Linked DNA regions of Schizosaccharomyces pombe. The gene in region 3 interacts genetically with the main gene of each other region. Each region holds a gene or a part of one and is shown on either strand. Other genes may lie near its edges. The genes, in order: fim1, pxl1, rng2 and gef2.

Region 1 (4,849 bases), on a different chromosome or scaffold from region 3:
TTAGAAGCTATGTCCAAAAATCCAAATTTAGAAAGAAGTTAGAAAACATGTAATCAGATAAATAATAAATCATGCTATTTTTGATTGATAGTATCAAGTGTACCTACCTTCCACAGCTATATCAAAGGCCAATCTTCCTAAGCCGGAACCTGGAACAAGTACACGAATTTTAGATCTGTCTATAGAATCAGATGGGAAAAGTGAATTTAGTTCCTCGATGAAAGGAGCATATGTAGTACGGCGTTCCTCAACACATTCGGTCGACCAATCTCTCGCAATTTGCTTGAGAGTGCTTGAAACTTTTTGCATCATATCAACATTGACATGAAATAACTCATTTTGATCGAAATCACTGCAGAACACAGGAATGGCTGCGTTAGCGATTGCTTCAGCAAGCACGCTGTTCTGCTCGATACATTGATCAATCCTTGAAAGATGCTTTAAAAAATTGTTGTCAGAGTCCTGTAAGAGTAAGTCCTTGTGTTCAAAAGACAACCTGCTCATCGATTTTCTCTTCTGTTGTGTTATTGTATGAGCATATTGCCTGTACAAAAAGAACGCGCTTAAAACTTCTTTCAAAACTTTTACTTCTTCCTCATCATATTCCATAGTTTTTTTTGATGTTTCTGAGCTCTATCTAGACTTTAATATTTTTATCATCTAAGTCGCAATTTTGGCGTTGTGGAGAAGTTAAACCTCTAACTTGTTGCTTCATTGAAGTTGGAAGTGTTGAAGAAACCAATAAGTTAAGAATATTATGGTTAATATAATTATGTTTTATGTATTTCATTAGCTTTTCAAGTTATGTTTATATCTACTGTGTTTGATTGCAATATTGAATCATCTCTGCTGAAAATCCCTGCAACGCGGTGCCTCTATGAAAATAGTGTTTGCCTTTTGCAAAAATCCCATAGGTTTTATTTGGATAGTTGTCAGACAATATTTTACAACAGCAGCCGCAAAGGAAATTCACCATGCTTCAACAATACCGGAACAGCTAATCTTCTGAAGCATCGTTATAGTAGTATTGTGAGTTTTGTAGATTATAAGAAAATAATATAAGAGAATCTTGGTGCACGCAGTAATATCATACAATATTTATATTGCAGCTTATAAACGAGACTGGAAATACACGTGAAAAGGTAGTCAGGTTAAAAGTTTAACCCTGTGACATCTGGCTAATCTTTTATCCTATTGCGCAGTTAAAAGCGGGAATTACTTCTTTTTCTTATATTGTATCAAAAATTGTTGGCTTCAGTGACCTAAACCCTTGAACAAAAGAAAAAAAACACGAATTTTCACGGCCGGAAAAACTTTCTGCAACGTTTTACAAAGGATCTACTATCATAGTAAGTAGAAATTTTGGCTTCTTGACATATAGTACTAAGTAATTTTCAAGTCGATGCATCAGTTGACTTCAATTGAAAGAGCTTGCTAGTTTGTGATGTTTATGGCATTTGAATTCGGTAATATCGCTAATTTGATATGGACTTACGTTTAGCTTTTTATTCTGTAAAAAAAATTAAAATTCAATGTAGTTGATATCCCAGCTATATATTCAATCTAAAGCTACAACGCAAGACATCGTCAAGTAGTAAATTACTTTTTACAATTGCAAATTAACTTTTAACAGATTGGCTAAGCAAACGTGTATTAACTCATTTAGCGAGCGGATCAAAGTTTTGCTCTACGCTTCTGTAAGTATGATGTATGTGCATCAACAACACGACGTTAATCCTTGTCACGTAGCAACTGCAAGCCACCCAAAGCACACATCGTGTGGTTTCGTTTACTATACATTTTTTGGTCAAATTTTACTTTTAAAGAAATGTTAGCTCTTAAACTTCAAAAGAAGTATCCGGAGCTCACTAATGAGGAAATTCTAACCTTAACCGACCAATTTAACAAACTTGATGTGGATGGAAAGGGATATTTAGATCAACCTACCACTATTAAAGCCTTTGAAGATTCAAAGAAGGGTTCTTACGATGAGGTCCGTGAAGCAATTCGTGAAGTTAACGTTGATTCGTCTGGACGTGTTGAACCCGAAGACTTTGTAGGAGTAAGTAATGTTTTCCGTAATTTTCACGATATGTGTCTCTATATCGCTTCATCAATTGGATTACTAATGCATATAGATTTTCAATGTTTTAAAAAAAGGTGTAGAAGGTACTGAAGTAAAAAAGGGTCGGATTACTATCAAAGGATCTTCCTCAAGTGTTTCTCATACCATTAATGAGGAAGAGCGAAGAGAATTTATCAAGCATATTAATTCCGTCTTAGCTGGAGACCCTGATGTTGGTTCCCGAGTCCCCATCAACACTGAAACCTTTGAGTTTTTCGATCAATGCAAAGATGGTTTAATCCTCTCAAAGTTAATTAATGACAGCGTTCCCGACACCATTGATGAGCGTGTACTCAATAAACAGAGAAATAACAAGCCTCTTGATAATTTCAAATGTATTGAAAATAACAATGTTGTTATTAACTCCGCAAAAGCTATGGGTGGTATCTCCATTACCAACATTGGTGCCGGCGATATTTTAGAAGGTCGTGAACATTTGATTCTTGGTCTTGTTTGGCAAATCATTCGCCGCGGTCTCCTTGGAAAGATTGATATTACTTTACATCCCGAGCTTTACCGCCTTCTCGAAGAGGATGAAACCCTTGACCAATTTCTCCGTCTCCCTCCTGAGAAAATTCTTCTCCGCTGGTTCAATTATCACTTAAAGGCTGCCAATTGGCCGCGTACTGTCTCTAACTTCTCAAAAGATGTTTCAGATGGCGAGAATTATACTGTGCTGCTCAACCAATTAGCTCCCGAACTCTGTTCACGTGCTCCTCTTCAAACTACAGATGTTTTGCAGCGTGCTGAACAGGTTTTACAGAATGCTGAAAAATTGGATTGCCGCAAATATCTTACACCTACCGCTATGGTTGCAGGGAACCCTAAGCTTAACCTTGCCTTTGTTGCTCATCTCTTTAATACTCATCCAGGTTTGGAGCCTTTAAATGAAGAGGAAAAGCCGGAGATTGAACCATTTGATGCAGAAGGTGAGCGTGAGGCACGTGTTTTTACCTTGTGGTTGAACTCTCTTGATGTTACTCCATCCATTCATGACTTCTTCAATAATTTACGAGATGGCTTGATTTTGTTGCAAGCTTACGATAAAATCACACCTAATACCGTTAACTGGAAAAAGGTGAACAAGGCACCTGCATCTGGAGATGAAATGATGCGTTTCAAAGCTGTTGAAAACTGTAATTATGCAGTGGACCTTGGAAAAAATCAAGGTTTTTCTTTGGTAGGAATACAAGGTGCTGATATTACTGACGGTTCTCGTACACTCACCTTAGCATTGGTTTGGCAAATGATGCGTATGAACATTACCAAAACTCTACATAGTCTTAGCCGTGGAGGTAAAACTCTTTCAGATAGTGACATGGTTGCGTGGGCCAATTCTATGGCTGCTAAAGGTGGTAAAGGTTCTCAAATTCGTTCATTCCGTGATCCTTCTATTTCCACTGGTGTGTTCGTCTTAGACGTACTTCATGGAATTAAGAGCGAATATGTTGATTACAATCTTGTTACCGATGGTTCTACTGAAGAACTTGCTATTCAAAATGGTATGTATATATATTTGATATATTTTTAATTTTCATTACTAACACATCGTTTAGCTCGTCTTGCTATTTCTATCGCCAGAAAGTTGGGTGCCGTAATCTTTATTTTGCCAGAAGATATTGTGGCCGTTCGTCCTCGGTTGGTCCTTCATTTTATTGGCAGTTTAATGGCCGTATAATTTGTTTCGACTTAACTATAGCTTTTAACGAAACGATTTAACACATGTGTTTTTCCCAATTTAATTACTTATATTGCGAACAACTTCGGAAGTGAGTACGTCGCTTTTGACTCGCTATGTTATTAGTGGTATGTCATATTATAGATAACTTTGTGTTGTTTTATGATACATCTTAACCCGTTTTTGTCCCTTTAGTATTGGGTAATCCTTATCCTAATTAATGTTTGAGGAATTCTGAAGCTGCACGACGAAACGTAGTCATTTTTTCTCAAACTGTAGAAAATAGTTAGCTTTTTAATTTCATAATGAAGGGAAGATCATTTGTATATGTAACTAATGGTAAGTCTCTGTAGGCCCAAATAGTACGGACTGCATATGCAAATCAGCTTTCTAAATAAAGCATTCGTTGGGAGAACGTTGGTCTACCAAGCCCTAATTTTCAAACACAATAAAAAGAAATAAAAATGTATATATGTCGATTAACATTTTTTACTTTAATAAAATATTCGGAATCTTATAACAATATTATTTATTATCAGATTACTTAACATAATACACATTACGTCCACCGTATATTGTCCAACTATGTCAGCAATACTACACTACGCTATGCTACACTACGTTGCGTATCACTATATGTCATATGTTGGAATACTAGCTAAGATCCGTTTATTGATAATCACGGGTAACTATCCTTCTATATACATAGATACCCGTTGATAACAACTATTTAGAAATATTATAAATAGCGTTACAACTGAACCTCGTTCCTCAGTTCAGTTATGAGCTATATTAGTGATAGGTAACATTATAACCCAGTTAATACAATACCTATACTCAGTTGCTACTTATACAACCTGTGTATTGTAATATAATAGACCACAAGGAAAACTCACCGCAGTTCTACGTATCCTTAAATCAGATACCAAACTGCGTAGCTTACAAACTACTTATAACCACCATTCAAAACAGGTTAAATCGTTATTGCCGATTGGACTTTAAAATACATATTGCTACCTTTACTGCTATCTAAGTTTAAATTCGAA
Region 2 (4,497 bases), on a different chromosome or scaffold from region 3:
CCTATGATAAAAGGCTATGTTGGTTCGACTTAGACTTTTCTTCTAAACCATATAAAAATCTTCGATATCATTCACGTGCTCTTCGCGATGTCTCATATCATCCTTCCCTTCCACTATTTTGCTCTGGCTCTGATGATGGTGATGTTCAAGTGTTCCACGGTCGTGTTTACAGTGACCTTCTGGCTAATCCCTTGATTGTTCCTCTTAAGATTTTGCGGAATCATAAAGTGGTTGATAATGTCGGTGTTTTATCCACATGCTGGCATCCAAAAGAAGCCTGGTTATTCAGTGCAGGTGCTGGTGGAGAAATTCGGATGTGGACTTGAAAAAGGTTTGAAACGTCTTAAATATTTTTGTTTTCTTCACTTGCTTTAAAATTTAGAAAAACTCTACTTTTAAAAATAATGTTTGGTAGTGTTTACTGCAAAAGATACTTTTTCAATGCTGTATTATAGTTTTGCTAACAAGTCGAAAAGATTGTTTTCGTACTTGATTTTGGATATTTAATAGGAATATAGGGGTTTTCGAAAGTTTAAAATGCATTTGTGCAAACTGAATATGTTTTTATTTTTTATTTTTTGGTAAGTTATCTAAAGTATTTAAGTATTACGTGATATCAAAAATCGTAACCGTTGAAATTCAATAGTGCTTTTTATATATCTATAGTTACCTAATCATTAATTGCTTAATTATAAAAATACAGCAAGTTTAAATGCAAGTAAACATGCTGGACTTTGTGGATTAAATGAAATGATTTAAAATCTCCAAGATTTCCAAGACAGCTTTCCTTATAAAGCTAAAATCGATGAAAGAAGTGAAAAAATAACAAAAAAAAAAGAAAAAGAAAGTGATGAGTAAGTCTGAGTTAATCCAAATTAAACTTGACTGATATCGCCTTGCAAGGACGGCAAATAGGGGTATTTTCTATCATAAAATAACCCTCATCTCCAAGTAGGGCATTACAAGCTCCGCAGGTCCAACATTGGCTATGATATTCACCATCAGACCCTTTTACACTGATCCCCAAAATGGGTTTACGGCATTTCTTGCACTTAACAGCATACTTATTATCATAACAAGTCTGACACCAGTATAGGTCGTCACGGTAAATACAGGGTATATTTACATTAAAAACTTCAGAGCAACCAGCGCAAAAATGATGATTTTCATGAAACCAATCATTGTTGATATGGACCGCTTGGTCTTCAATTGGGGTTTTGCAGTGCTTACAGCGAGGACTGAACTGTTCATGATAGTCTAGATGACAATAAAATTTTCCCTCGCGGTAATAAAATCCAACGTGCTCTAAGTTCTGGGAACAAGTATCGCATTTGAAGCATTGAGGGTGTAATTTCTTTCCTGAAGCACTAATTATTCTGCCAGCGCGTAAAGAACCGCCGCAACTATGACAGGATTTTTCAGAATTGCCTCTATAAAGAACTGGTTTTGTAGATGTATGAGAAGATACCATTGAAGGCTTAAGTGAATCTGATTGAAATAAATTATTTGAGGACAAGTTGCTAGGCAATTGTGAAGTGGGGGTGGGCAAAGGATATAAGCTATTAGCAGGAGCAGAATGAAAAGAATGCAAAGCGGGTCTACGATTGGAAAGTTTACTGGATTTCTGTAAAGGAAGAGTAGGAAGTTGTTTGGATGCGAAGGTTTTTTGTCTGTCTTCAATGCAATCATGATCAACAAGCGGCTGTAAACCGGTATGACAATCGTAAACATTTCGTACGTCTGGATAATTAACATGTGAATTCAATTCCTCCGGCGAACTAGGAAACTCATCGTCGTCACTGTATGCAAGAGATGGCAATTCAGGTAAAAGCTCCTTTTTTAAGCTATCGAAAGTAGAAGTAGAAGCAGAGGTTAGTAGTGTTTTTTCCGGCGACGAAACATTAGAACGAGAGAGCTCGTCATCAGGCAGATCAAAACGTACACGATTTTGTTTTATTGTTGGATTCCTCTTGGACAAAGGAGATTCAGGAGTCTTCAAACTTGGTTGCGGTAATGGTGTAGCTATTCGACCTCCAGTAAAGTTAAGTGCTCCATCAGATAACCGAGAACGAACTAAATTGTTTAGCGGGGAGCCATTAGTAGAGACCGGCGAAGAAGGAGCAGCACGAGGACCAGTCAATCGACGTTCAAATCTACAAAAACGAAGTTAGATACCTAATTGGGTAATAACAATAAGACAATAGATTACCTTGGTAATTCTGGAATTGGTGAATGCATTTGCTGATATGCTTCTCAACTATCAGGACACTAATCAACGGAAAGAATTCAGGATCGTTGACAACCTTAAGAAATCAGGATAGCCAAGCTCGCAGGGTATAAATCTAGCCGCAACACTTAAAAACAAGATAAAAAATAGGAAGAGAAGGATAAGGAAGGAAAAACAAAAATCAAGCTGGGATTAACTTATAGAAAATTGTTGCCAACGTAAGGATATATATCTCAAAGAGCGGAGTCCCCCAAAAAAACTAGCTGTATTAAAAAAATGCAATTGTAAGCAAGTAGTTATTATTTAGAAAGCAGTAATATTTGCTTTATCCAAAGTGTTTTAGCTAATAAGTGTTGGCTTTGTTTAAGTGTATATTCCAAAATATAAACAAACATTCGTTGTTATAGAAACCAGCCTCATAATAGGTAACATTGTACCTTTAACGAATACTTAGAGAGTACGTATTCAATGTTTGTATACCAGCAGAAAGTAAAAAAATGCGAATATATTAGTAATTAAAGTGAATTAAGCCATTCCTATGCAGAAAATGTTCCAAACGAAATCAATGTTATTTGTTGGACAATTTTATATGTTGCGATTTCATAATATGGTACAATATCTTTTTATAATTTATTTTTTTTATACTTTGGCAGTAGATTATTGTGGAGCGCGTTATTAATGCTTACTGTATTGTTACAGCTCTTTAAATGTCATTAACTACCCCATTATGCTTTGTCAGGCATACAGCATTTCGCTTATTGTTTCATAAATAGAAACCTAATTTTGGCTTTCAAGCTACAGATTGACCTAAGAAAATTCTTTACCAGTTGTAAGTATAATTGTATAAGAAAAAATATGTAGACCCGTGAGTCTGTTCAGTGTGTAGTTACTTATAAGCGTTGCAATGTGTCGCAAAATGATATTGTATATAAAATTACGATCACACTGTACCACACAAACGTCGTTAAAGGAAAAAACACTTTTTTGACTGTAGATTTGTTAGAAGCAAAAGTGTTTGAGAATAGTTTATGTGCGGAATTCTTTTCGCCTTAGCGGAAGACAGAGATAATCTTCTTGAAAGTCCATCTTTTTCAGCTTTACGAAAAAGGATTCGGGCTAGAGGACCTGATTTTTTTGGTAAGCATAAATTGAATAGCGGACCTTGGAATTTGCACTTTGAGTCAAGCGTTTTGCATTTACGTGGCCCTTCTGATCATTTAACGCCTCAACCTCATGTTGACAGTTTTGGAAACGTTTTGTGTTGGAATGGAGAAATTTGGCAAATAAACCATAGCGATCATCACAAATTTACGCTCAATCGTAATGAAAACGACGGTGCAAAACTTTTTGAACTTTTAAACAATAACCCGGGCGACATTGAAAAAATTTTGGGAAGTATTCAAGGACCTTTTGCTTTTGTTTACTACCAAGTTCGTACAAACACATTGTGGTGGGGAAGAGATCGCTTAGGAAGAAGATCCCTTTTGTATAGTTTACGAGATAGTAATTTCGTTCTCTCAAGTGTAGGAAATTCTAGTGATTTCCGAGAAGTTGAGCCTGGGTTTCATAGTGTGCAGGTGGACTTGATCCCAAAAATTAACTTCTCTAAATCATTAATGCAACTGGAAAAAACAAACCCTCTTCCTCCTGTGGATGAGTCCTTTCTCATGGGCTCAATCTCTTCAGACACTGTGGACACATTGCATACATATCTTATCAAAGCGCTTCAAGATAGAGTTTTAACAATCCCCAAACTGTGCTCTTCAAACCTTGACTGTAGTCATTATAGCCGAGTTTGCGTTCTTTACTCTGGGGGAGTGGATTGCGGTGTATTAGCACGGCTAATGCACGACATAGTTCCCAATAACGAGTCCATCGATTTAATTAATGTGGCTTTTGAAAACCCAAGATTTACAGAGACATACCGTGACAGAGAGACGGGACTTCTTCCTGACAATTTTGATGCATACGACGTATGTCCTGATAGACAAACTGGATTACAAGGCTGGCAGGAGCTTATTTCAGTTTGCCCTGCTCGAAAATGGAATTTTGTTGCTATAAACGTTCCTTATACAGAAGTATGTGAAGCACAGGAAATAGTCAAAACACTTATCTATCCGAACGATTCAGTTATGGATCTTTCTATTGGATTAGCTTTTTATTTTGCTTCACAAGGGCGTGGTGTACTTTTACAAAACGTGGATGATATCAAACTGAAACATCAATTACCTTCCTATACTATAAAAGCTAAAGTCCTCATCAGTGGCCTG
Region 3 (7,461 bases):
TGCAACGCGTTAACACACTGTCGCTCTAACTAAAGCTATCTGTTTCATTTAACCATAACCAAGATACTTCGATAATTTTCCGCTTAGTCGCCTCACAAATAGGTTAGTGCAATCTTTTTTCAAAACCCTCACACTTTGTAGAAACTCAAGAAAATGTCCTTTGATAGAAAAGATATTGGTATTAAGGGCCTCGTGTTGTACACTCCCAATCAGGTATGTTATAAATGAGTCGCTACTTTATTTCAAAACTTCTCCTCCAAATTATTTGCATGCATTACCTACATCTTTTTTCAATAGTACAAATTTACGCAAGCTTCAGAGGAAAGTAATAGAAATACTTTCTCATTAAATTCCTTCAGAACCTGATATTAATCGTTTTTACCCTATAGTATGTTGAACAAGCTGCCCTCGAAGCGCATGATGGAGTCTCTACTGGAAAGTATACTATTGGCCTCGGCTTGACTAAGATGGCTTTTGTCGACGATCGTGAAGACATTTATTCCTTTGGTCTTACCGCTCTTTCTCAACTTATCAAGAGATACCAAATTGATATAAGCAAGATTGGTCGTTTGGAAGTTGGAACTGAGACTATCATCGATAAATCTAAGTCTGTCAAAAGTGTTTTAATGCAACTTTTTGGGGATAACCACAATGTCGAAGGTATTGATTGTGTTAATGCCTGTTATGGTGGCGTGAACGCTCTTTTTAACACAATCGATTGGATTGAGTCTTCTGCTTGGGATGGCCGTGATGGTATAGTTGTCGCTGGTGATATTGCTCTCTATGCCAAGGGCAATGCTCGTCCTACCGGTGGTGCTGGTTGTGTCGCCCTTTTGGTTGGTCCTAATGCCCCTATTGTTTTTGAACCTGGTCTACGTGGTACTTACATGCAACATGCTTACGATTTTTACAAACCCGATTTGACGAGTGAATACCCTTACGTTGATGGCCATTTTTCTCTTGAATGTTATGTTAAAGCTCTTGATGGAGCATATGCTAATTACAATGTTCGTGATGTTGCTAAGAATGGAAAAAGTCAAGGACTTGGATTGGATCGTTTTGATTATTGCATTTTCCACGCTCCTACTTGCAAACAAGTCCAAAAAGCATATGCGCGTTTATTGTACACCGATAGCGCTGCTGAACCATCTAATCCCGAGTTGGAAGGTGTCCGTGAACTTCTTAGCACCCTGGATGCTAAGAAATCCCTTACCGACAAGGCTTTAGAAAAAGGTCTTATGGCCATAACTAAAGAGCGTTTTAACAAACGAGTTTCCCCTAGTGTCTATGCCCCTACCAACTGTGGTAATATGTACACTGCCAGTATTTTCTCTTGTTTAACTGCATTACTTAGCCGTGTCCCCGCTGATGAACTTAAAGGAAAACGCGTCGGTGCTTACTCTTATGGTTCTGGTTTGGCTGCCTCGTTTTTTTCATTCGTTGTCAAAGGCGACGTCTCTGAAATTGCCAAGAAAACTAACTTGGTTAACGATTTGGATAATCGTCATTGTTTAACCCCTACGCAGTATGAAGAGGCTATTGAGCTACGCCATCAAGCACACTTGAAAAAGAATTTTACTCCCAAAGGAAGCATCGAACGTCTTCGTTCAGGTACTTACTACCTTACTGGTATTGATGACATGTTCCGCCGTAGCTATTCGGTGAAGCCTTAAATCACCGAAAAAAAGATTAGAATGCAAACTAGATACTGTTAAAATCTCTTTTAGTAGACTTTTTTTTGATACATGAATATGTGATTTTGACAACTTTTTTGTTAATTATTTAAAACTCATACGTATTGTAGTCTTAAAATGAATAACCTTCATTTGTAATAGCATAACCTAAATAATTAGAGTAAATTCGTCACTAACGGACAGTATCTTGAATTAAACTACTTACACCTAAAAACCCCCCACTCATCTTGATAACCCACATTTTCTTTGTCTGAGTAACAGCTACTCTCCACTAACATAGCCGAAAAATTGTGTGCAGTTACTTTATCTAGTTTGAGATCGAATGCTGAGTAGGTAGTCATCAGAAGTCTCAATGGACGTAAATGTGGGATTATCTAGACTTCAATCTCAAGCTGGGGCACCTGTTGGCACGAAAGGGTCGAACACTCGTTTAGCAGCCAAACAAAGAGAAACCCTTCAAGCATATGATTATTTGTGTAGGGTTGATGAAGCAAAAAAATGGATAGAAGAATGCCTCGGCACAGATCTAGGACCAACGTCTACATTTGAGCAGTCGCTGCGAAACGGAGTTGTCTTGGCTCTCTTGGTTCAGAAATTTCAACCCGATAAACTAATCAAGATATTCTATTCTAATGAACTCCAGTTTCGCCATTCAGATAACATTAATAAGTTTCTTGACTTTATCCATGGCATTGGGCTTCCCGAAATTTTTCATTTCGAACTGACTGACATTTACGAAGGGAAAAATTTACCCAAAGTTATCTATTGTATTCATGCCCTTTCTTATTTCCTTTCTATGCAGGACTTGGCACCCCCTTTAATCAAGAGTGATGAAAATCTATCTTTTACTGATGAAGACGTTTCAATAATAGTCCGTAGACTCCGACAATCTAATGTAATCCTTCCTAACTTCAAAGCTTTAAGTGCCGATTTTATGCTTCGTGCTAGTCCTGTTTCTTCTCGCACTCCTTCCCCTACACGATTTCCCAAGCATGCTCGTTTCCAAACCCTAAATTCATCAGATTCTGCATCTATATATTCGTCTCCTTATACTTCTCCTACTTTAGAATTTTCGAAGAAAGATGCTAGCGCTCGTTCAGACATCCTTAAGATGCACAGAAGGACGAAATCAGCGACACCTTCGTTAGAACAATTTAATGAACCATATAAACAAACTTTGCCTAGTCATTCAATCGAATTCGAAGACTCTTTTTTTCAACCCCCTTCTCAAAAGGGACATATGCAACGATCTTTCCTCACAACATTTTCAGCACCCACAAGAAGACGGGAGGCACTATTTTCTACCACTTCTGGACTTAGTCAGCGTAGCCCTGTCGATGAGAAAATCGTGAACGCGATTCAAGCTTGTGGTCGTGGCGTACTTGTGCGCTTGCGTTTGGTGGATATGTTACAATCCCTCGTGGAACAAAGTTCTTCTGTCGTACTTCTGCAAGCCGTAATTCGTGGATATATATCTAGAAATACATACAGAATACGAAAGAAAGCATACGATGAACTTGTAAACTGGGTTACTTCTATTCAATCCATCTCTCGTGCATATCTGATACGTGCACAATACCGTAAAGTGGTTTTACAGGAGGAGGCAACGAAGTCAATCCAAACGTTACAAAGCATTATTCGTGGGGGTTTCTATCGTCGTAAATACCACTCGTTAATAGAGAGGCTAGACTTATTTACACCATCATTTGTGTTAATTCAATCCTCAGCTTTAGGATTTCTTACCCGTCATGCAATAGTTAATATGCTTGACAACCTTTACAACTATATCCCTCTCTTTAACCGGATGCAAAGTATACTGCGTGCAAATATGTTTCGGAATGAATGGTCTAACTTTCTAGATTCCGTACAATCGTTTCCCGTTTCTTTTCACTCTATTTGCAAAGGACGCTTGATAAGGGATTCTATAAACAGATTAAATGGATCACTTCTGGGAGAACTGGATAATTTTATTAAACTACAAAATTTATCTCGAGGATTTATGATTCGTCGGGCATTTAAAGAGAAATTGGAGAAATTAAAAGCATCAACATCCTCTTTCATTGCTCTACAGGCAATTGTTCGGGCTTTTCTTTTAAGAAAAAACTTGGAAAGCATTTATGATTCTTTTCAAAAATCGCACCTATCTGTCATTAAAGCCCAATCTCTTTATCGGGGATTCATTACTCGAACCAAAATTGATTATTGTAACGACTATTTGTTAAAGCGATTACCAGATATCGTGTTTATGCAATCTGCAGTCCGTGCAATTCTTTTACGAGATGATGTGAATTATACTGAAGTTCAGTTAGATTCTTTTATTCCTGAAATTGTATTGTTACAATCTTTAATTCGTGGGTATCTATCTCGAAACAAATTTTCAAGAAAACTTCAAAATTTTCATAAGAATATGGAGAATCCCATAGTTGCGAAGTCCATTTTTAGGGGTCGTCAAGAAGGGTTGGCTTATAGAGAACTTGCTACGGCCAAAAATCCACCTGTTATGACGGTCAAAAATTTTGTTCATTTATTAGACGACACCAATTTCGACTTTGAGGAAGAAGTATTGCTTGAAAAAATGAGAAAAGAAATTGTGCAACAAGTACGAGACAATGAAGAAATTGAAGTTCACATCAATGAACTAGACGTGAAGATTGCTTTGTTGGTTAAAAACAAAATCAGTTTGGATGATGTTTTAAAACATCACAACAAGTATAAATTTGGAAAGCAAAGCACTGAATATTTAAAAATTAATACTCTGTCTATGAAGTCACTCAACAATTCAAGCAGAAAATTTTTGGAACTTTATCAGTGTTTTTTCTATGTGTTACAAACCAACGAAATGTACTTAGCAAATTATTTTCAAGCGCTAAAAACTGAGGGCACTTCCTCTGTAAAGATCCGTCATGCTGTTTATTTAGTTTTGCAAATTTTCGGCCATGGCTCTAACCGACGAGAAGAAGTACTACTTTTGAGATTCATTTCCCAAGTCATTAAGCTAGAAGCAGCTTTAGTTAATTCATCTCAGGATCTACTTTCTGATGACTGTGTCTGGAAATTACTGTTCACTGGATATCGTGGGGACGTTCGTGAAGTGAAGCTTTGGAAAACTATTCTCGGCCGCATTCACAAGGTTTTAGTAGCCGACAATCATTTGGATTTTGAAATCAATCCGTTGACTCTATTTAAAAGTTTCAATCCTGAAGTTGCCAGTCAAACTGATAGTCCAAAACTCACTTTGTCGTTAGCAATGCAACACCCACCGACAAGAAATCTATACGTTAGCAGACTTCGTGAACTTCGAAAACTGTGTCAATCATTCCTAGTAGCACTTTCTAAGAATATTGAAAATATTCCTTATGCTTTATGCTATACTGCAGCACAATTGAAAAATAGCTTACAACGATATTTCCCCGCTGCGCATAAAGAAGAAATTTTTGGCGTAATAGGGAAATTTGTTTATTGGGCTTATGTCGCTCCTGTACTTGTGTCACCCGATAACTTCAAGTTGGTTGATGGCTCTATTACAGCTCTTCAACGAAAAAACCTTTACACATTGTCAAGCATTTTGTCTGAGATCTTTTCAATCGAGTCCTGTGACTCTAAGCAACTTGGTTTTTTTAGACCACTCTCCGAGTTTATTGAGGTGTCCAAGCAGGATACCATGTTGATGCTAGAAAGGCTTGTCGATGTGGTTGATCCAGAGGTGTACTTTGAGTTCGATGCTTTTGAAGACCTTGTTAATACCAAGCGGCCAGTAATATACATGAAGCGAGACGATATTTTAGGCATTTATTCATCTATTGCATATGTCATAGATAGTATTGCTCCTCCTGATGTGAACGATCCATTACGCGCTGTTGTCAATAGCTTAGGTCCTGTTTCAGAGCAAGACAATGACTTTGTGCAAGATGAAACTGACGTCAAACTAGAATTGAATCCCAAATTTTGCACTATAGAAAATCCCGTTGCTCAGGAACGGACTCTTATTGTTCAGACAAAGAGATATATATTATTTATTATTCGAATTCAAAATGGCCTTAATCTTTTGGAAATACTTGTCAAACCGGTTACAGATTCAGACGAAGCAGCATGGCAAAATTTATTGGCAGAAGAATCTGAAAAGAATGCAAGGAATTATGATTTGTTTGATGATTCTATCTTTTCAATGTCATTTGCAGAACTGAAATACACTGCACTAAGCAATATAGTGGAAATGGAAAAGCTTGGATTTGCAAACCGACGGAATAATTACCAAGATATGGTAAATTCTATCGCTCTAGATATCCGTAATAAGTCGAGAAGAAGGATGCAACGACAGCGTGAACTTGATGCGGGACATCAAAGTTTGCTTAACTTACGAGAAAAAAGAGCTTTCCTTGATTCGCAGCTAAAAAGTTATAACGAATACATTGAACAAGCTATGGAAACATTACAATCAAAGAAGGGTAAGAAGAAGCTTATTCCTTTTTCTAAACAGTATTTTCACATGCGAGATCTCCGAAAATCTGGACGCGTTCCTCGCTTTGGGTCGTTCAAGTACCCAGCTCTTAAACTCTATGACCGAGGAGTTTTGGTATCAATATCTCATATGCCGCAGAAAGAAAAATTGTATATTACTATATCAGCCGATGAAGTTGGCAAATTTATTCTGGAAGCAACAAGCCCGACAGTTAAAGTTTCGAGCCCAAGGTGTGAATTGCATTTGGACGACTTGTTGTCTGCTCAATATAACAAGGTTTTAACTTTGGATGTTTTGGATGGCCGTCTCAAATTAAACACCAATATGTTCTTACATTTGATTTTCTCCAAATTTTATTCATGAGACGTTTCACTTTGTTCATTTTTCCGTCTCTTTAACTACCCAATGATTTAATTCGAATTAACTTAAAACCGTCAAATATCTTTGCACATTAATACTTGTCCATATTCTTTTGGCGAAATATGTATACTATGTGATATTTTCTCCCCTTTAATTCTGATAATTTGCACAGTTTTCCCATTTCATTCACTTAGTGTGGGGGGTTTTTTTATCACTACTTGTGTTTACTTATACTGTACAAATCTTATTTAACTCGGTGTTATTTTTCAAATTTTTTTTTTCAACTAAAGCCGTTGAACCTGAAACACTAAATCAAGGAATAGGAATTTTTGGTTTATGCATACTAGTTGTACTTGGTAATTTATACTTTCTGAATTAGTTAAAGGTTTATAATTACAAATAACACTTTTTTATAACAAAATGTAATTTATGTCAATACATACATCTTTACTAATTCTTATAAGGCGATTCGATTGAGCATGATTATGTTCAAATTAACCTTTGGATATGGGTAGGTGTTTGGTTGACAAACTTCTTAAGCGTGTTGCATTTTAACGAAGAAAATTTGAATTTTCAAATCCCGTATAGCGTGTAAAAAAATATACATTAAACACGTATTATGAGCAGAAGACTACATAGACCTAATATGAAATAAAACGCACAAAAGAATATTACGCACAAATAATGGCGAGGGTCACCACCATACAAAGTAATATTCACTACCACAATTCAGCTGACAAATACCATTACCTAAATGGCGTCGTTACCACCGGGGAATCCTCCTCCACCGCCTCCTCCGCCTGGATTTGAGCCTCCTTCACAGCCTCCACCTCCTCCACCTCCAGGTTATGTGAAGAAAAGAAAAAACAAGACTCCAGCACAGTCTGGAAATCTTGAAAAGCAACTTAACGAAAGAGCACGCAAATGGCGCGCTTCTCAAAAATCAAA
Region 4 (6,531 bases), 2.2 Mb from region 3:
AGTCAGATGAAATAAATGAAGTGCTCAATAAGTACCAAGAGACCCAGCGGCAATCTTAATATTGCCTTACTCAATTCATTGGGAAAACACTTTAAGTGTATAGCTGTTTTTTATAGCTTTCGTCGTTACCCTTTAATCTCCTTGTAATTAGCTCATGGTTTTTGTAAACAATTTGAAGCAAACTAAGTTCCATCATGAGCCTTATTCCGTCTCAATATAGGCTTGCTTTCTTTTTATCTACGCTAAATCATTATCTTATGAATTCTTATGCCGTTTTAAAAAAGGCTTTTTTCAAGTTTCTTTTATACTTAGACCTTTCTTTCTCATTCCCTTCATAACGTCAATTTCTACTTGAGTACACCATTCCGGCATATTTAAAATTATAGTATTTCCAATGGAATGTCAATGACTCTCATATGTTCTAAACTATATGCTTAGTTTTCATAACTGAAGATTTTAAACGGTGTAGCATATTCCAATTCTATACTATTTATAAAAATAAGAGAAAACTTTTTGATGAGTATTATTAACTTTCACTTACATATTGAAGGATAAAAAAAATAACTATTGATATCTAAAAAAGGAATAGTAAAACAAATAATCTAATAATCGATGTAGTATAGACTAGTTGGCTATATAAATATGTTGGTTTGACAACCTTCCTTAGCGTTTAGCTTGGATTCATACTCTTCAAGAGTCCACTTTGCGGTATCTAGTTCACATTGTTTTCTAATTAAACTGGCTTGAACTGATTGCTTTATAAGCTTAAGATCATGGTTGAAGCGATCATACAACAGAGGGATAGACTTTTTAGAATCTTCATTTAATCGAGTCATTTGAGCCAACCTTGCAAGAGTCAGATGATATTTGCGTCGTAAATCCTCGTATGCCTCTCGTTCTATTTGACCAGGTAAAATTTCCTTAGGGTGTCTTTCCGGCATTTCTTTCATGGCAATTGCTTGGAATTTCGATTCATCTAACTGTTTATCATTATTGGAATTCGCAGGGGAAACCGGAGTCGGCAATTCCTCTACTGTTCCAAAAATGCGATCACTGTGGTATGCAAGGTAATAAACAAGTTCTACAGCATTACTTCCAAACATGGAAGGAGCCAAGGCAATTGCTAGTTGTTTCGTAACAAAATCACATTGATCTTTAAGAGGAAGTCTCAAAAGCAAACTACGACGTTAGATAATAAAACCTCTGAAAAACAAGCTTGGTGACTTACTCGGAAGCAATAGAAAAAATGTTCTCAAGGATCTTTAGGCTACTCTCGGGTAAGTCTTGTAAGATTTTTTTCAAATGATAAACTGCATCAGTTGAATTGAAAGATAGATCTTCAATGTTAGTTAAAAAAAATCAAATTTGATAGCGATACATACTTAAATTTTCAACAGTATTTAACTGTTGTATGAATGAAGAAGAAAGCAAAACTCCAAATTTTCGATTGATAAAGGAGCTCAAATATTTTTGAAAGGTCGCATAAATAATATTTGGTGGGTAATGAGAGAGTAATTCTTCATTAAAAGTTTCCTTCAAAATATTATCGTACAGCTCATCCCCCTCAATCTTCTCCTTTTCAGACAGTGGATATAGTAAATTCTTTAAATCTGCTCAGTTAACGTTATGATCCAAATTGCAATATTACCTGTATGATATTTAAATCCGCCTTTGAAAGCTTCAAGATGTTCGACAGTTTTCTCAGCAGAAGCCTTCGAAGTATTATGAGTATTAAACTTCAATGATTTTTGTGAAATATTATTATGGTCCAAATTGTACATTTGCGAAGGAAGTGTAGCACAAGATTTTGATAAACCGCCTTGATTATAAAACCTGTTCAATGATAAACTGATTTTAGAAGGGCTTCCGGGCCTTCCTCCAAATGATAACCTACTTTTTCGTGGGCTGGAATTAGCAGAAAGCAAATGCTGTATAAGGTTTGAGTATAGATCCAAGCTTGAGAAATTTCTATTTGAAAAAGGGCATAGGAGAAGCCTTTTTATATTAATAAGATAATTAAGACAAGCCTCCCTAAGGTCTTCCTTAGCTATAACAGCTTCAGTAGGCAAACTGACACCTAACCAGGAATCGAAACTTAAATGAAAATCTTCGTCTTGTTGAAAAAAAGTAATGACAATATTACCGTCTTGCAAAAATTTATGCTTATCAACGTTGGCATCATTGGTGCATATGCATACTATGTCTGAGCGTTTTGATTCTTTCTCATACTCAAATCGTGAATAGTTATTAAAAAAAACCACAAAGTCATTGAGTTTTGAAAAACTAAGGCAGGAAGGCTGGCTTTTGTTCATTGAAAGTGCTTTTTGAAAAGACTGATAAAACCTATCCATAGTTCTTACATTTTCAAAATCGCAACGAAACTTCAAAATAGGATACTCATTAAAAAATGAAGGAGAAGATGCATACTTGGAAATTAAAAAAATAGTATTCTCCTCAACCATACTTCTTGTCAACTCAACCGCTTCATTCATATTTGAACCGATATATTGAGCACGCTTTTCTTTGGAATAAGAATTGCGAGGATTTTGCTTACGAAGATCCAATATAGTTGAGGCAATACTTGATTTGGAGCGTCTTTGAACAAGACAAATTCGATCATTGAATAAAATTAGAGTATAAGGTATTAAATGCAGTTGCCCGTTTTTTAGAAACTCCCTAGTCACGTCAATACAATCTATGAAATTTCGAGAGTTAGATATCATGTTTGGTGCTAAGTCAGGAATTATATGTTGTAAGCCAGCAAAAATCCTTGATCGTTCTTCGGCATCAACTGTAGGCATTTCTGCAATATTTTTTATAATCTCAACTGAGCGCACGTATGTATGTTGACATTCTCCTTCTTGTGTCAATAATATAATCTGATCTAAAAATAGTGAATATCGTGGAATCCTTTGAACTGGTTCCATAATAAGCTGACTCAAACCCACATTCATGTTTGCGTTAAGCTTTACCTGGTCATGGAATTCAACAAATTTGGGTATTTTTGAAGCCATCTTTAAAACATTACCAAAATCATTACTTTGCTCAAGGTAACGAGGATAATGTTGTGAAAAAGCGAAAAAATGAGATTCAAAACAACAAGCTAATCGAAGATCAATTTCTTCAAACTTTTTTTCGTCTATATCTTCAAAATTTAAATCACTCATGATTGCCTCAAACTCGTCAAGAAAAGCAGAATTGAGCTGAATTAATTTGTTAAGACAAGGCGGAAATAGGGTGTTTAATTCATAAAGTCCCAGCAATTTTTTCGAAGACTTGGCCAAATCCCGTAAAGGGAGTGCATAATCATTAACTAAATGGCGTAGTCTCTCAACATATGTGCTCTCTGTTTCCATCATCTCAATGAGTAAACTCTTTTTTTTTTGAATTGCAGGTATGGTTCCGGCATCTTTACTAGACGCAAAACTCGGACTCGGACTTGAAGTCTTTTTTCGTGAATCCTCAAACATTTCCCTACTTCCTATAACGGTTTTCCAATAAGAGTTAGAAGGGTCTTCCCACCAAGAGTTATCAACCTTTATGTCAAAAATAGCATCTACCACGAATTCGCGTACACCATTCGGCTCGCCAAGAGAATAAAGCTCACGAGTGAGAGAAGATGACTGGAAAACGTTTATTGTATCAAAAATATAGGAAGCATACTCAGGTTCAATGACTGACTCTCGCCAATTTTCGCCTGTATGTAAACATACAGATTCCACGCAAAGAAACTCATATACGCATGCAGCAGCTTCCTTATGCATACTAGCAATTTGCCATTCTAGGTCCAAAGTTTGCGCAAAAGCATCCAACTTCGAAGAGAAAGGGTAACATATAGAAAACGTGTCAGGTCCCAATTTCGATAAAGCATAAGCTGCTAAAATATGACCATCAACTTTGGCAAATGAAATCAATACCAAACCCATATTTGGATGATTGAAGGTACAAAATACATGATCTTGCTCAAACAAAGGATTCATTTGTAACAGATCCCTAAAAACCCATAGACCTCCAAATTGAATGCTAATTGCTAACAGTTCAGCACGCGAACCCATCGTGCCGACGTCCATGGTAAAAATAAATGAAAAAAGTAAGATAAAGGTCAATCGCGTAGACAAAAATATGAAACTTAACTTCGCCAAATATACGTAAACAAGTAAGCTTTTTTTCAACAACCGCAGTTAAATGTGATGGCTTGATAACCTGTAAAACTTGTAGAAAGAAAAGAAATAGAGGTAGCAAAATCCCTTAAACAGTAAAACAAATAGTATATTGACCAGTCAAGCAAAGCTGAAGAAAAGTTTTAAGCAAAGAAGCAATGGTTCCCAAGAAAAAGAATTATTAAATAAATTAAACCTTCAAGACTTTTTACAAAAGATCGATAGAACGGAACTTGATAGAAATTGTTTTTATGCAACTCAAAAATTATTAATGATTATAAGAAATCTCAATTCAATGTTTATTAGTGAAAGTACTTCCAGTTATACAGCTACAAAAGAAAAAGGAATAGACCCAATTCAGGGACTATATCCTAATCTCACTTGAAGCTTCCGAACCTGCTTCTCCGATGTGGTTGTTTGAATTAGGTAGTTTTACTCCATTTCTCCATTCACCGATAGGACATATGGTAATTTTCTGCAGCGAAAATCCGCTACAGCTGCTAGTCTTTTACCATATTATTAATTTAATCTTTTAGTGATCATTTTCTTGTTTTCTAACAATAAAGTAAAATAGCAACCCAAAGTCAAATCTGTCATTTATTGAGATCGGGAATTACTTAATAGACAAAAAAAGAGACATTAAATGGAAGCGAATGAAGAAAGATGCATTTTATTAAAATACCCTCATCCAAGCTCTGATATTTCTTCTGAATATTTATTGTTGGAACTAGACGACGATTTATTAAAGACTCTGGAAGAAAATCCTGAAGAAGAGTATGTGTTTCCTTGTGTATAAATAACCTGAAGTTGAATCATTACTTTTTTATTTTTTATATCGCTATTTGACAACTTATGATCTAACATCGATAATAGGATTGTCTTTAAATCAGATTTTGATAAAAAGGCTTCAGTACTCTGTACTTCAGATAAAACGTATGCTGTGCGTCAAGTGGTTCAATCAAACTCGTATTTGCTTTTTGATGAGCTCAGTCCTACCGACTGGGTATTAAATGACACATGTTATTCATTTTTAGAAGTTGAACGGATTTATGGGTTTATTTTTTCAGACGACAAAATTTCTTATTGGGACGAAGATTCTGTGGAATTGGTATGCATTTTATTGAATAGTTAGCCTTTCACTAACAGTCTCAACAGAAGCCCATTTCACTTACAAAAGATCAATTTATACGATCTGTTCCTGCTAGCAGAAATGAAGTCGATTCATTCTTGCAGAAAAACTTTTTCATGGTAAAGAATGAATTCTTGTACCGATTATCACCTTCTTACATATGTTCAATTATTGACTGGATATTTGTTATAGCCCAACAGTTACACATAGACTTTGCAAGTTTTGAGTTTAAGATTTTAAAAAAGCCAGCTATGGATGACGAATTTGATTGGGATTCAGTAATTTGTGTTCTTGAAAGTATCTCTTCACCCATTAAGGACAATGTCTTACCTAAAAAATTCAATATCGATTTAGAGTTGACGACTTTTTGGTATGGGCGATTTTTGTTAGAAGGCATCAACAGTATAAGCTCCGATGAGTTCATTCAGTTATGGGATAATCGTCTTCCGTATCCTTGTAAAGGACTTCCTTCTTTGAATTTATTAAAGGTAGGGCATTTTAGTCAGCTAATGCTAAAACTCTTTAGGGTTATTATTTTCACGATACCCCAAATACGATTCAGTATTTATCAGGAGATCAGTTACCGAGAGAACCAAGTAGGCGGTTTCAATCTTTGTTTCAACTTAAGTCGAAATGGTTATATGAAGAACTTTGGAGTTTCGTTAAAGATCTTGCCTTGTCGAAATCAAGAGTTGAAGCTCTTATATTGAAATATGGGCGAAAACAAACCAGTAGGGACGGTGTTTACATTAATTCTAGAGGGACATGGTAAAACCTTATTTGGCCGGTACTATACAGGTTGAAAACTTGATTTTATTGTACATTATTTTCGACAGGATTATGAAATCAATTAAAATTTTAATCAAACTTAAGTTTTAAATATTAAGACTCTGGGTTTTATCAACAATTTCTGAAACAGATCTAGGAGCAACATCATAATGAAAGACAACGTCGTCTCCAGATCGCCAAATTCGAGCCTTAACAGTTGCCAATGTCATTTTGGGGGTAACGACGACATCTTTGCATCTAAATTGAAGGGATGATACATCCTTTCTTTGTTGGCTAAGCTTGCTATAGCTATAATCCATAATTTTCTGAGCACGAAGCATAGCACTAGCACTTAAACGAGTGTTTTCATTTACAATAAGCGGTAAACCACTTCCAGGAAAAGGCTGAAGAGTAAAATTAACAGTAGGGGCAGTTTTAGAAGGAAATTCGTTTAATAACAGTAATCTTCCAAGC

What was found.
Region 1: mutations in rng2 (region 3) and fim1 impair growth when combined (synthetic growth defect), as found in Schizosaccharomyces pombe (one study listed by BioGRID).
Region 2: mutations in rng2 (region 3) and pxl1 are lethal when combined (synthetic lethality), as found in Schizosaccharomyces pombe (2 studies listed by BioGRID, with this or other methods).
Region 4: of rng2 (region 3) and gef2, changing one enhances a phenotype caused by changing the other (phenotypic enhancement), as found in Schizosaccharomyces pombe (one study listed by BioGRID).

What each region holds. Positions count from the first base shown.
Region 1 is NC_003423.3:3,105,721-3,110,569, reverse strand, and holds fim1 (fimbrin), read left to right. Parts: upstream 1-1,761; 5' UTR 1,762-1,828; coding exon 1,829-2,062; intron 2,063-2,138; coding exon 2,139-3,627; intron 3,628-3,681; coding exon 3,682-3,803; 3' UTR 3,804-4,328; downstream 4,329-4,849. Other genes in the region: SPOM_SPBC1778.07 (carnosine N-methyltransferase), read right to left, coding at 108-609. UniProt on the Schizosaccharomyces pombe protein: Binds to actin, and functionally associates with actin structures involved in the development and maintenance of cell polarity. Plays a role in cytokinesis. Plays important roles in mating and in spore formation.
Region 2 is NC_003423.3:2,710,253-2,714,749, reverse strand, and holds pxl1 (paxillin-like protein Pxl1), read right to left. Parts: upstream 2,583-4,497; 5' UTR 2,239-2,582; coding exon 2,210-2,238; intron 2,154-2,209; coding exon 866-2,153; 3' UTR 543-865; downstream 1-542. Other genes in the region: erb1 (WD repeat/BOP1NT protein), read left to right, coding at 1-326; asn2 (asparagine synthase), read left to right, coding at 3,256-4,497.
Region 3 is NC_003424.3:2,643,471-2,650,931, forward strand, and holds rng2 (IQ motif containing GTPase activating protein), read left to right. Parts: upstream 1-1,957; 5' UTR 1,958-2,046; coding exon 2,047-6,516; 3' UTR 6,517-6,957; downstream 6,958-7,461. Other genes in the region: hcs1 (3-hydroxy-3-methylglutaryl-CoA synthase), read left to right, coding at 154-213, 390-1,673; U5 snRNP complex subunit Spp42, read left to right, coding at 7,268-7,461. UniProt on the Schizosaccharomyces pombe protein: Component of the contractile F-actin ring; required for its construction following assembly of F-actin at the division site.
Region 4 is NC_003424.3:418,005-424,535, reverse strand, and holds gef2 (RhoGEF Gef2), read right to left. Parts: upstream 4,595-6,531; 5' UTR 4,071-4,594; coding exon 1,649-4,070; exon of another isoform or gene 1,611-1,648; coding exon 1,383-1,610; intron 1,338-1,382; coding exon 1,229-1,337; exon of another isoform or gene 1,180-1,228; coding exon 633-1,179; 3' UTR 545-632; downstream 1-544. Other genes in the region: pre9 (proteasome core particle subunit alpha 3), read left to right, coding at 1-59; Ctf18 RFC-like complex subunit Dcc1, read left to right, coding at 4,804-4,934, 5,034-5,268, 5,316-5,777, 5,816-6,061; bun107 (WD repeat-containing protein), read right to left, coding at 6,165-6,531. UniProt on the Schizosaccharomyces pombe protein: Has a role in the control of cell polarity and cytokinesis. Involved in bipolar growth and septum formation.